Linked DNA regions of Cricetulus griseus. The protein of the gene in region 2 purifies or fractionates together with the protein of the main gene of each other region. This does not show direct contact. Links are inferred from orthologs where the notes say so. Each region holds a gene or a part of one and is shown on either strand. Other genes may lie near its edges.

The links.
Region 1: the proteins of Eif3l (region 2) and Eif3b purify together in Homo sapiens (affinity purification with mass spectrometry; 8 studies listed by BioGRID and IntAct, counting the BioPlex papers as one, with this or other methods). This does not show direct contact. The link is inferred for Cricetulus griseus from reciprocal best matches to the Homo sapiens genes EIF3L and EIF3B.
Region 3: the proteins of Eif3l (region 2) and Znf746 purify together in Homo sapiens (affinity purification with mass spectrometry; 3 studies listed by BioGRID and IntAct, counting the BioPlex papers as one, with this or other methods). This does not show direct contact. The link is inferred for Cricetulus griseus from reciprocal best matches to the Homo sapiens genes EIF3L and ZNF746.

What each region holds. Positions count from the first base shown.
Region 1 is NC_048597.1:77,055,096-77,058,742, reverse strand, and holds part of Eif3b (eukaryotic translation initiation factor 3 subunit B), read right to left. Parts: intron 1,799-3,647; coding exon 1,606-1,798; intron 1-1,605.
Region 2 is NC_048595.1:376,208,023-376,211,620, forward strand, and holds the end of Eif3l (eukaryotic translation initiation factor 3 subunit L), read left to right. Parts: intron 1-1,920; coding exon 1,921-2,001; intron 2,002-2,827; coding exon 2,828-2,866; 3' UTR 2,867-3,033; downstream 3,034-3,598. UniProt on the Homo sapiens protein: Component of the eukaryotic translation initiation factor 3 (eIF-3) complex, which is required for several steps in the initiation of protein synthesis.
Region 3 is NC_048601.1:99,134,096-99,138,229, forward strand, and holds the start of Znf746 (zinc finger protein 746), read left to right. Parts: upstream 1-1,302; 5' UTR 1,303-1,578; coding exon 1,579-1,602; intron 1,603-1,710; exon of another isoform or gene 1,711-2,307; intron 2,308-4,134.

The DNA.
Region 1 (3,647 bases), on a different chromosome or scaffold from region 2:
GCACCCATTCACATGGTGGTTCACAACTGTCTGTAATTCCAGTTCCAGGGATCAAATGATCACTCTCTCTGGCTTCTGAGAAGACTAAGTACACATGTGGTGCACATTCATACATGCAAGCAAAACATTCACATACATAAAATAAAATTGAAGGGGGGAGGCTAGAGGGATGGCTGAGTGGTTAAGAGCGCCGATTACTCTTCCAGAGGACCCAGGTTCAATTCCCAACTGCTCTTGCAGTCAGCTCAGCACCCATCCACATGGTGGTTCACAACTGTCTGTAATTCCAGTTCCAAGGGATATGAAACCTTCACACAGACATACATGCAGGCAAAATACCAATGAGCATAAAATAAAAATAAATATAATCTATAAAAATATAATCTTCAAAAATAAAACAAAAACCATAAAACGCAATAACATTGCCTAGAACCAATGATTCTTCCAAAAATAACTAACTTTGTAGATAGTTTTAAAAACACTAAGACAGCCGAGCGGTGGTGGCACATGCCTTTAATCCCAGCACTCGGGAGGCAGAGGCAGGTGGATCTCTGTGAGTTTGAGACCAGCCTGGTCTACAAGAGCTAGTTCCAGGACAGCTTCCAAGCCACAGAGAAACCCTGTCTTGAAAAACTAAAATAATAATAATAATAGTAATAATAATAAAAAAACACTAAGAGGCTGGGCGTTGGTGGCGCATGCCTTTAATCCCAGCACTCGGGAGGCAGAGGCAGGTGGATCTCTGTGAGTTCAAGGCCAGCCTGGTCTCCAGAGCAAGTGCCAGGATAGGCTCCAAAGTTACAAAGAGAAACCCTGTGTTGAAATCCCACCACCACCACCAAAAACCATTAAGACTTTAATTCTAAAAGGTGCCCTTATCACCCTATACTCCCCTCAGACAAGGGGGCATTTAAAGGAGGTCTGTCAATAGTGGCAAGAGGCAAACGACCCCCTATAAATTGAGCAGCATTCTCAATTTATAAATTGGACCATTCTGCCCTGTCCAGTCAACTGAGGGCAGCCAGTCCCACTGCTTAAGAGCCTCCACCCTAGGAGACAGGAGCCTCAGGCCTGCACAACAAAATCTAAGCAGACCTCCCACAGTCATTGTCCATTGACACCAGAGCATCAATCACAGTACTTGAAGCTGAGCCCTGGGCACCAGACATAAAAGAGGACCAGAATCAACAGGAAAGACCTAATTTTGAAGAGAAAAAGCAAACAGCAAGTCACAAAACCTCAGGCTACACCCATGATTTTAGGTAACAGTAGGAAGGAAGTCAATAACTAAGTAGTGATACAAGGCTTTTGCCTTCACTTCAGATAAGTTTAAATGTTTTAACAAGTACTTCTGAGAGAAATCCCACAGGCAGGCTTCCCCTTGGGCTGTGCGCACTCTCAAGACAGTGGTATCTTTATCCAGAACCTATCCTAGGTCACCTGCTGCTCCCGTGGGCATCAGCTGGAGATCTCAGTCTGCAGTCACTCACTACACCATGATTTCAGGGCCCTGCTGAGGATTCCACCGAGAGAGCTTCCCTCTGGGGTGGCCTGAAAACAAATTCCCAAGCCCACAACTGTTGCTTCAGCAACTGGCACTCTCACCCTTTAGTCTTTCCATCCTCTTCAGGGTAATAGTCATTTATGATTTTTCCAAACTTGGAGAAGATCTTGTGGATGACATTTTTGAGCTTCTCAAGCCGATCCGGTCCCACCTGAGGAACGTTGTCTACAACAATCACTGAGTCGATCCCATCTGCTTCCTGAGGCCGATCCTTGAGTATATCACCAAGTAATTCTGAAGGAGTAAAAGAAATGTCAAGTGGTTTCTATTGAAGCCAACTAGCTCTCACCTCTTAGCTAGCAGGCTGATTATGTCTAAGAGGCATCTACTCTAAGGGCTTTCATCATGAACAAAGAAATCATGACCTAACTTAAACAACAAAGAATCAAAAAGGCTAATCCCCACACTCCTTTTGATGGGCAGTATTGTCAAAATGTACCCAGTTGTAACTGCTGGGTGAATGCCTTTAATACCATCACTCTGGAAGTGAAGGCAGAAGCAGGTGGATCTCTGAGTTCAAGACCAGCCTGGTATACAGAAGTTCCAGGACAGGCTCCAAAAGCTACACAAAGAAACCCTGTCTCGAAAAAACAAAATAAATGAATGAATGAATATATTTTTAAGAAAAAAAGCAACTTCCAACATACTAAAGTAGTGCTGGGATGGAGGGTCAGTGGGGAAAGTGCCCTGCTGCCCACAAGCATGAGGAACTGATTTCAGATGGCCAGCACCCACAGAAAAACCAAGTGTAAGGTGGGCATGGTGGTTCATGCGTTCAGTCCCAGGACTCAAGAGGTAGGCAGATCTCTGTGAATTCAAGGCCAGCTTGGTATACATGGGAATTAGTAGGACAGCCGAGGTTACACGAGAGAGTCTGTCTCAAGAGTCAGGTGTAGAAGCATGCATCTATAACCCCAAGGCTGTAAGGGCAGAGGTAAAAGGATCTCAGAGGCTTGCTGAAGAAACAGTCTATATGTAACAGTAGCTCCGGGTTCAATTAGAGACCCTATATTAAAATGGAGAGTGGGGTGTAAAGAACATACCTGCCATAAACCTTGGTCTCCACACATACTTGCACACAAAAAACACATGTACACAAGAGAAAGCTGAGCTAGATGTAAGAGTGCTCCCAGCACCTGAGAAACTGGGGCAGAAAGACAGCCATTTTTTGAGGTCACCCAGATCTATACAAGATCCAGATACAGAAGTCTGACCTGGCATGGTAATCCACACCTTTAAACCCAGTACTCAGGAGCCAAAGGTTGACAGATCTGAGTTTGAGGCCAGAATGGTGAGTTCCAGAACAGCCATAGTGAGACTTTCATAGGCTTCATAGTGAGAGTCCGTCTCAAAAAGACCAAAAAGAAAATATATGTGGGGGTGGAGAGATGGCTCAGCAGTTATAAAAACACGTGTTACTTTCCCAGAGAACCAGAGTTCAGCTCCTAGCACCCCCAGAACCATCTGCAACCCTTCAGGGAACCTACTGCCCCCTTCTGGCCTCCAAAGACAATGCATGTATGTGGTACAAGCATACATGGAGGCAAAACATCTACAACAAAAAATAAGAGTAAGGAAAAATAGAACTGGAGAGATGGCTCTGCCATTTTAGAGCACTTGTTGCTCTTTCAGAAGATTAAAGCTCAATGCCAGCACCCACATGGGGGCTCACAGCCATCTATAACTCCAGTTCCAAGGAATCTGATGCTCTCTTCTAAACAATACTCACACACGTGGTGCATACACATGAATGCAGGCATACCTACATACAAAATAACCTAAAAAATAAATTATAAATAACATATATGATTAAAAATAAAAGGAAACTCTGGGCCAGCAGGAAGGCTCAGTATATAGAGAGCACTGTTGTAAAAGCCTGACAATTTGAGTTTCCTCCATTGTGGAAGGAGGAAACCAACTCCTCAATGCTATCCTGACTGCTATACAAATGTGCAGCACAGTACCAACTCACCTCATGACTTCTTGGGGTTTTTTTGTTTTGTTTTCTGAGACAATATGTGTTTCTCTGTGTGTCCCTGTCCGTGGCAGGCCTGGAATGTGCTCTGTAGACCAGGCTGACCTT
Region 2 (3,598 bases):
CTCACAACCATCCCTTATGAGATCTGGTGCCCTCTTCTGGTGTGCAGATATACATGGAAGCAGAATATTGTATGCATAATAAATAAATAAAATCTTTAAAAAAAAAAAAAAAGCTGGGCAGTGGTGGCGCACGCCTTTAGTCCCAGCCCTTGGGAGGCAGAGGCAGGCAGATCTCTGTGAGTTTGAGACTAGCCTGGTCTACAAGAGCTGGTTCCAGGACAGCCTCCAAAGCCACAGAGAAACCCTGCCTCAAAAAACAAAAAAAAATCTTAAAAAATAAAAAAATAGGGTAATGTGGAGACTAGTAAAAGAAGACATTCTAAGGCTGGGCGTTGGTGGCGCACGCCTTTAATCCCAGGATTCAGGAGGCAGGGGCAGGTGGATCTCTGTGAGTTCGAGACTAGCCTGGTCTCCAGAGCGAGTGCCGGGATAGGCTCCAAAGCTACACAAAGAAACCCTGTCTTGAAAAACAAAAACAAAAAAAAAGAGAAGACATTCTATATTAGCCTCTGGTCCCTATGCACAGCCGTACACATCTACACCAACATATGCCTGCAAAACCCGCCCCCCCAACTACACACACACACACACACACACACACACACACGCACGCACGCACGCACGCACGCACACACACACACACGCACACACACACACACCTCTTCTGTTCTGAATTCATTCTCAGTTTGTGACATGTGCACTTTTTTATTTATTTGTTTCTATGTGCATTGTTTTTTTTGCCATGAGTGTTGGGTCCCTTGAAACTAGAGTTCTGCTGGGAGTTGAACCTGGGTCTTCTGGAAGAGCAATCAGTGCTCTTAACTACTGAGCCATCTCTCCAGCCCGATGTGCACTTTCTTTGATAGTACCGTTAACCTACCCACTTTGTCATCTTCTAGTGACGTAGCAACTAGTCCCAGTGCAGATGGTTTAATAAAATGCTTCTCCCAATTTGGTCATTAAAATTTTTTTTTTTTTTTTTTTTTTTGCTTTTCAAGGCAGGGTTTCTCTGTGTAGCTTTGGAGCCTGTCCTCGCACTCGCTCTGTAGACCCGGCTGGCCTCGAACTCACAGAGATCTGCCTGCCTCTGCGTCCCGAGTGCTGGGATTAAAGGTGCACACCACCAACGCCCAGCTCAAATTTTATTTTATGTTTTGTTATTTGTGTGTGGAATCTGTGTGCTGGTGTGCATGTGGAGGTCAGAGGACAACTTTTGGGGGTTGGTTCTCGCCTCCCATCTTGGTGAGACAGGGTCTGTCTTGTTTTGCTGTGCTGGAAGCTCATGTCTCCACCTCCCATCCCAAGTAGGAATACTGGGATTACAGGTAATCACCATCACTGAACCATCTCTGTAGCCCACAAGTCACATTTTGCTGAAACTTGTATTCAGATTAAGTCAATGCCACATCCATACTTTAAAAGGCTCTGCCATTTTGACTTTGGTGGTTTAGGGAGTGTTGAGGGCAGGGTAGTCGTCACTGTGTAGCTCAGGGGTGGTCCTGTTTTCATCAGCCTCTCAAGTGTTAGGATTACATGTATGTGCCTGTGTGTTCGTGCTTTTGTTTCTCAATAACAGGTATTGGTCTGCTTCCCCCAAACTTTGCTCATGAAAATTAGTGTTAGGAGCCTGAGTGTGGTAGCCCAGGGTCAATGGGAGACTGAGAAGGATGGCACCTTCAAAGTAAAAAATCAAGAGGATGGGCGGGGACATAGCAAAATACTAGAGCATTTTTGTCATCCCACCCCCACCCCTGTCCCCCAAGTACCGGGAGCTCTGTGGGGGTTATTAACACTTGGCACCATTGTACTTTGCAGTTAAGTGGCTCCACGCTAGGTGGCCCTCTTCTTCATCACTACCCTACACCTCCCCACCCCACCCCCCCTTCCCACCACTTCTGTTCTGACTGCTTTCTCCCATAGGACATGATCCATATTGCAGACACCAAGGTTGCCAGACGCTATGGGGATTTCTTTATCCGGCAGATCCACAAATTTGAAGAGGTAAGACCTTTGAGAGAATGGCTGACAAACCTGAGGATAGAGATGAGGCTTTGAAATTTTTCTCATGCTTCTTTTTAAGAAAATGTGTGATTGGCCCTTTAACTTTCTAAGCTCGCCTGGCTGGCAGCTTGGAGAGTGGATTGGGTTCAGGAGTTGCTGTGTCAGCCCTTTCTAGGGTATCTCTTTCCAAGATCTTGGTCTGCGGGTGGCCCTGCAAAGGGTGCTGCTCTCCTCACCCTTCCTGGTATTTCCTAATATGGGTAGATTTGCTGCTGAGTCCCTCCTTCCCTGGTTCCCAGTTGGGGCGTTCTCCAGCTCAGACAGGTCTGGCCAGTGTCTGCATGCTGGAGGACTGGAAACTGTGTTTGACAGACCTGGTGCTCTTACCCTAAGAAATGTCTTGTATGTCAGGCCGAAGAGCACAAGGTTATGGGGCTCCCTCGTTTATCTCTGAGCCACTTTTTCTTAGTACCCGAAGTCCTCCGACAGAGGACATGCTCCTTCAGGATTGTGACAGTGTGGCACTGTTTTTACTATTTAGCTGTCTAAGCCTTACCCATTGGGGACTGTTCTATCAGGGAGAGGCTGAAGTGCAACTGGTCTAGCCACCCTGAACCCTTGTCCTGTCTGTGAAATGGGCAGGGCAATGTAGGCTGTGCATTTGTCAAGTGAAGGCAAGAGAAAGGCTATGGCCACAGAGGATCTATGGCCACCTGGCTTTCTGTGGCCCTCCCTGGCCTGCAGGAGTCAGGCTTCCTGAATGTGCACACTTTTAGGATAGGTCCCAAAGATCCTACATCTAACTTAGTTTTACTTTCCCTTGTAGCTTAATCGAACCCTAAAGAAGATGGGACAGAGGCCCTGAAGACACTCATGCAGGAGTGAAGAACCTGTTTTGATATTGTAGATGGGAAGCATTCTTGTCATCAAGAAGCCTTACCTAAGTCAGCCATCAGCTGAGTTGAAACTTGTTCAAATCAAGGACTGGATGTTTTAGGGAGCTCTCAGTAAAGGGTCTTTGTTGGAGCTGGATTTGTGGTCTCATTATTAATGGGCAGATCTGTAGCTTTGGCAGCAGTCTACTGTGTCCTGTGTACTATGCTTCCCTGGTGCATCAGTGTTAAAGCTGAGTTCTCTAATCCCTGTGTTCATGACATACTGTGTGCTTCATAGGACGTTTGCATGTTCTGTGTCTGTTTAAATGATATTTAAATGAACTGCCATAATTTGCATAGCATGTTAGTGGCAGTGCTGAGCCCTGGGAAGAAACTGTGGGACATTTCTTACTGCCAGGAGTTGTGCAGATGGGTCTCAGACATGCTTAACACTTGCAGCTCAGACTTATGCGGTGTCCTATTTCTTTGTTGAGAAAGTGAATCCTGGGGTAATTGAGTAACTTGATTGAGGTCATACAAGTTATAAACAAGCCAGTCTTTAAAATAATTATGACTGCCTTCTGTCCAGTTTAGTACCTGCTGCCAGACAGCTGAGCCTGCTCTGCAGATCTATTGTAAGTATGGTGATGGGGTTGTTTGAGACAAGGCTGTGTACTCCAGGATGCCCTCAAACATAATCCTCATGTCTCAGTTTCCCTACT
Region 3 (4,134 bases), on a different chromosome or scaffold from region 2:
ATTACACTCTCTCTCTCTCTCTCTCCCCGTGTGTGTGCACGCACATATGTGTGTGTGTGTGTGTGTGTGTGTGTGTGTGTGTGTATAAAATCAATATCTTTTGGTGCGTATATGGTGTCCAGGTACACCACAGGAGGGGGTCGGATATACGGAAACTGGACTTATTTAGAGACGGTTGTGAGCTACCATGTGGGTGCTGGGAACCAAATCCCAACCCTCTACAAGAACAGCAAGTGCCTCCAGCTCCATTCAAAACATTTTAAACGATAGCATTTTATTCCATTTTTCACGTCATTAAAATGTTTATTATAGAGATTGGCGCCTACCTTGGTTACCTAGAGCCTAGAGCCTTCATGCAGTAGCTGTTCGAAGCAGAAGCAGGCACCCACAGCTAAGCACTGAACCATACTCCTGGAATCCAGTTGTGGAGAGGGAGGAGGGATGAGCAAAGGAGCCAAGACGGTGCTGGAGATACCCGCAGAAACAGTTGACCTGCCGAAGTGAGAGCACAGAGACCCTAGTCGTAAATCTGGGGAAACAGCATTGGACCCAACCAAGCCCTCTGAATGTGGGTGCCAGCTGGGAGGCCAAGACAGTCTATGGGACCTCTCACAGTGGAGCCAGTGTTTATCCCTAGAGCACAAATGGACTTTGGGAGCCCACTCCCTATGGAGGGATACTGTTGCAGCCCAGATACAGCAAGGAGGGCCTGGGCCCTCCCCCAAATGATATAACAGACTTTTAAGGTCCCCCGTGGAAGGAAGGCCTCACTATGCCTCGGGTGGAGGTGGGGGGTGGGTTAGGGGGTTGGTGGGGAACGTGGGAGGATGGGAGGGCGAGGGAATGGGGGGGATGGATACGTAAACATGAGTAGTAGTTTATTATAATACATATTATAGAATATCCTACACGATGCCTCCTGTGACTTATCAAGCCATTTTTCTGTTATTGGAGGTATTAATTCCCCTTCAAGGCGAAGATAGGCGTGCTGCTGTTGCAGAAGTGTCCGAGCCAGGGGTGCTCATTGCCCGCCGAAGCCCTGGGCCCAAGTTTTAGACCGCCGAACCGGGTGGCCGCCGCCGAGTTGACAGTTCTGGCAGGCAGTCTCTCCAGTCGCACGGCTAGCGCCACGGGACCGCAAGGGGCGGGCGGGGCGACGCTCGGGGGGCGGGCCGGGAGGCTGGGCCGGGGCGGGGCCTCGTGAGGAGGGCGGGGCCGGGCCGGCGGCAGCAGCGGCGGGCGGGCAGGCGGGCGGGCGGGTGCCGGCGCTGCCGTTCGCGCGCTCGAGCTGCAGTGGAGCTGTGCCGCCGCGCTGCCTCCAGGAAGCCTCACGGGCCTTCGTCTGCCTGGCCGCGGCGCCGGCTCCCAGGATGCAGTGTGGAGCGGCCGGGCGCTGACGGTGGCGGTGCGGCTGCGGCTGCGGCTGCGGGCGGGCGGGCGAGCGGCGGGAGGCCAGCCTGCGAGGAGCGCGGCGGGGAAGGAGCGGCGCTGCCGCGGAGAGGACCCGGCGGCCGGGCCTGCGTGGGGCCGCGCGCCGCGGCGTCGACTTCCTCCGCGCCGGGCAGGACAGCGCAGGCCATGGCCGAGGCGGCCGCGGCTCCGGTAAGGGCGGCCCGCGCGCTTGGCCGCGCGGCCTCGGGCCCGGAAGCCGGGGCCCAGCACGCAGCGCCGCAGGCCCCAGGAGGGCTTCCGGGCCTGCGGTCCTGGGGCTGCGGCGAGCGGCCGCGAGGTCCGCCGGGGCCTACCGCACCGGGTGGAGCCGGGCGCCGGGAACCGCCGTCCGCGCCCCGGAGGCCGACCCGCGCCAAGTTCCCGGTCCGCGCGTCCCCGGGCCGGGCTCCTTCCTCAGCGCCCGGGCTGGTGCTTCCCTCCCCCAGCTCCCCCAGCGGCCTGGCGGCACCTGGGAGGTGTCCGTCGTCGATTCCGCAGACACTGAGCACCCACTATGTGCCCAGCCCTCCCCAGGCGGCGCGCGAGGGCTGCTCTCGTTTGTCCAGCCCCGCTGGCGCTGTACACAGCCCGGTGTAGGAATGATTCGGTCCGCACTGCAAGCCCGTGGGGTAGTTGCTGTTATAGTTATTATCTGGTAGAAAAGAAAAGCAGGCGGCCCGGCGAAGTTAACTCGCCGAGGATCTGTCTCGGCGAGAAAGTGTGGGAAGACAGTGCTCACAGTTCAGTGGCTGTGATAAGGAAAGCAGACAGGTACACGAGTAGCCATATGGTCGAACAGAAAGGTTGTGGCAACCTGGTGGAAACGGAAATTCGAATGCAGGTGCTTAGCCGACCGTGTTTCTCCTGCCTGGCCAGGTATTCTGTGCTTTTGTGAGTTGAGTTAACGAGGGTTTCATAGGACGTGGGCAGAGACAGGGCAGTACAGGGCCGGTCCACGAGCCTGGAGAGATGGTGTCTTCGGTTATGAGGCGCAGAGTTGGAAGGGGCTGGAAGGCCCTTCGTCATGTGGGTGGGAAACAGTGGAGGGATTTGGCATCGTCTTAGCTAGACCATCCTCTTGAGCTCCGAGTTTTGGCATCGATGCCTGTTTCACAGGTGTCTGTTCCACCTTCCCTTTGACTTCAGCAGAGCACAACCGCTACACAGTTCGGAGGCCATGGGCCCCATAAGAATGGTTCAAAAAAATGACCCATTGTTCAGATGTTAAACAAGGATAACATCACTGAGGTAGATGTTCATGCACATGCCCTTTTGTGTAACACAGAGATTGCGGCAGGGGGAACCGTGGCAAAGTACAAGGGTATGGCTGAAACAGACAGGGCTGGCCTTAAAGAGGAGGAAGAGGCCAGAAGTATCATCCCACAACAATTTTTCCCTTTGAACAGTTCTGTCCTCAGTCTGACACAGTGACCCTCCTTCTATACAGCCTGAGAAACTGAGCACTATCCAGACCAGCTTTTCTGCTTCTGGTCAAGCTCTCTTGGCCCCATTTTCTGATGTGTCTTCCCACATTCTGGTTCTCAGCAACTCAAATGAGTCCACATTAGTTCCTAGAAGTCACTTTTATTTTGCAAGTAGTCATCCACCTTTTTTTGTTTCTGTATTCTTCTAAAATGTATGGAACATCTGTCTTCAGACACTGACCAGAAGTGGCACCCATTCGGGGTCTCTAATTGGTCCTGTGAGTTGCACCTCCAATGTACAAGGAGGAATTCTTCCCACTCCCGCCCAAAATGAGCTCTTCATGTCGATTGGGAAGTCACTTAAGCCTCTGCCATTTCCAGTGACAGGAACATATCAGTCTTGTGATTGTTGGCACATGTAAAAGTATGACTGTCTACCTTCGTCACTAGATGAAGTAGTCGCTGATCTCAGGACAACTTATGTCTGAGACTGAATTGTACCTTGCAGGGAGTTCACGAGGTGTAATGCCAGGCATAGTAACACACTTGTCACTCCAGGACTTGGGGTAATGAAGGCAAGGGTTCAAGGCCATCCTATGCCACCTGGCAGGTTCTAGGTCAGCCTGGGACATGTGAGACTTTATCACAAAAACAAACAAAATAACTCTTTGATTGGTTAAAATTGGCAGAAATAGTAATTTTAGCTCACAGGGGAGGGCAGTTAGGAAGGGACCAAATCAGATTGTCCTAGAGGAAAGGGAATTGCCATTTATGTGTTAAGAGGGGGCATGAGATGTTTTTTTAAACACACTTAAGCAACACCCTTCTTTGTGCCTCTCAGTTGAAGCAGCTGGAGTTTTTGCTGGGTCATCATCAGGCAGTTCCTGTACGATTGTGACTGGAGTGCAGGCTGGGCCCTAGTAAATCTGCAGTTTATCGTTTCTCCACTAAAACACCCCAGCAATGCTAAGTCACTGTTTATTTTGCAAAATTGCACTGTGTGTTTACCATGTGTTTAACACTGTGCTGTGAAAAGACACACTGTCCTCCAGAGGAGATATTCAGTGTAGGCACATACAGAAGATGACTGAATAGGGTTAGGGTAGAAAGTACCAAGGGAGGAATCTGCACAGTATGCTGCAGGATCCCGAGCAAGGTACCTGCCAGCCTCAGGCCAGAGCTTTATACCAAAGAGGCTGTCGCTACAGCAAGGTGTGGTGCATAATAGAGGATGTCCCTACTTCCCACATACATGGGCTCCCCACTCTCAGCTTGGCTC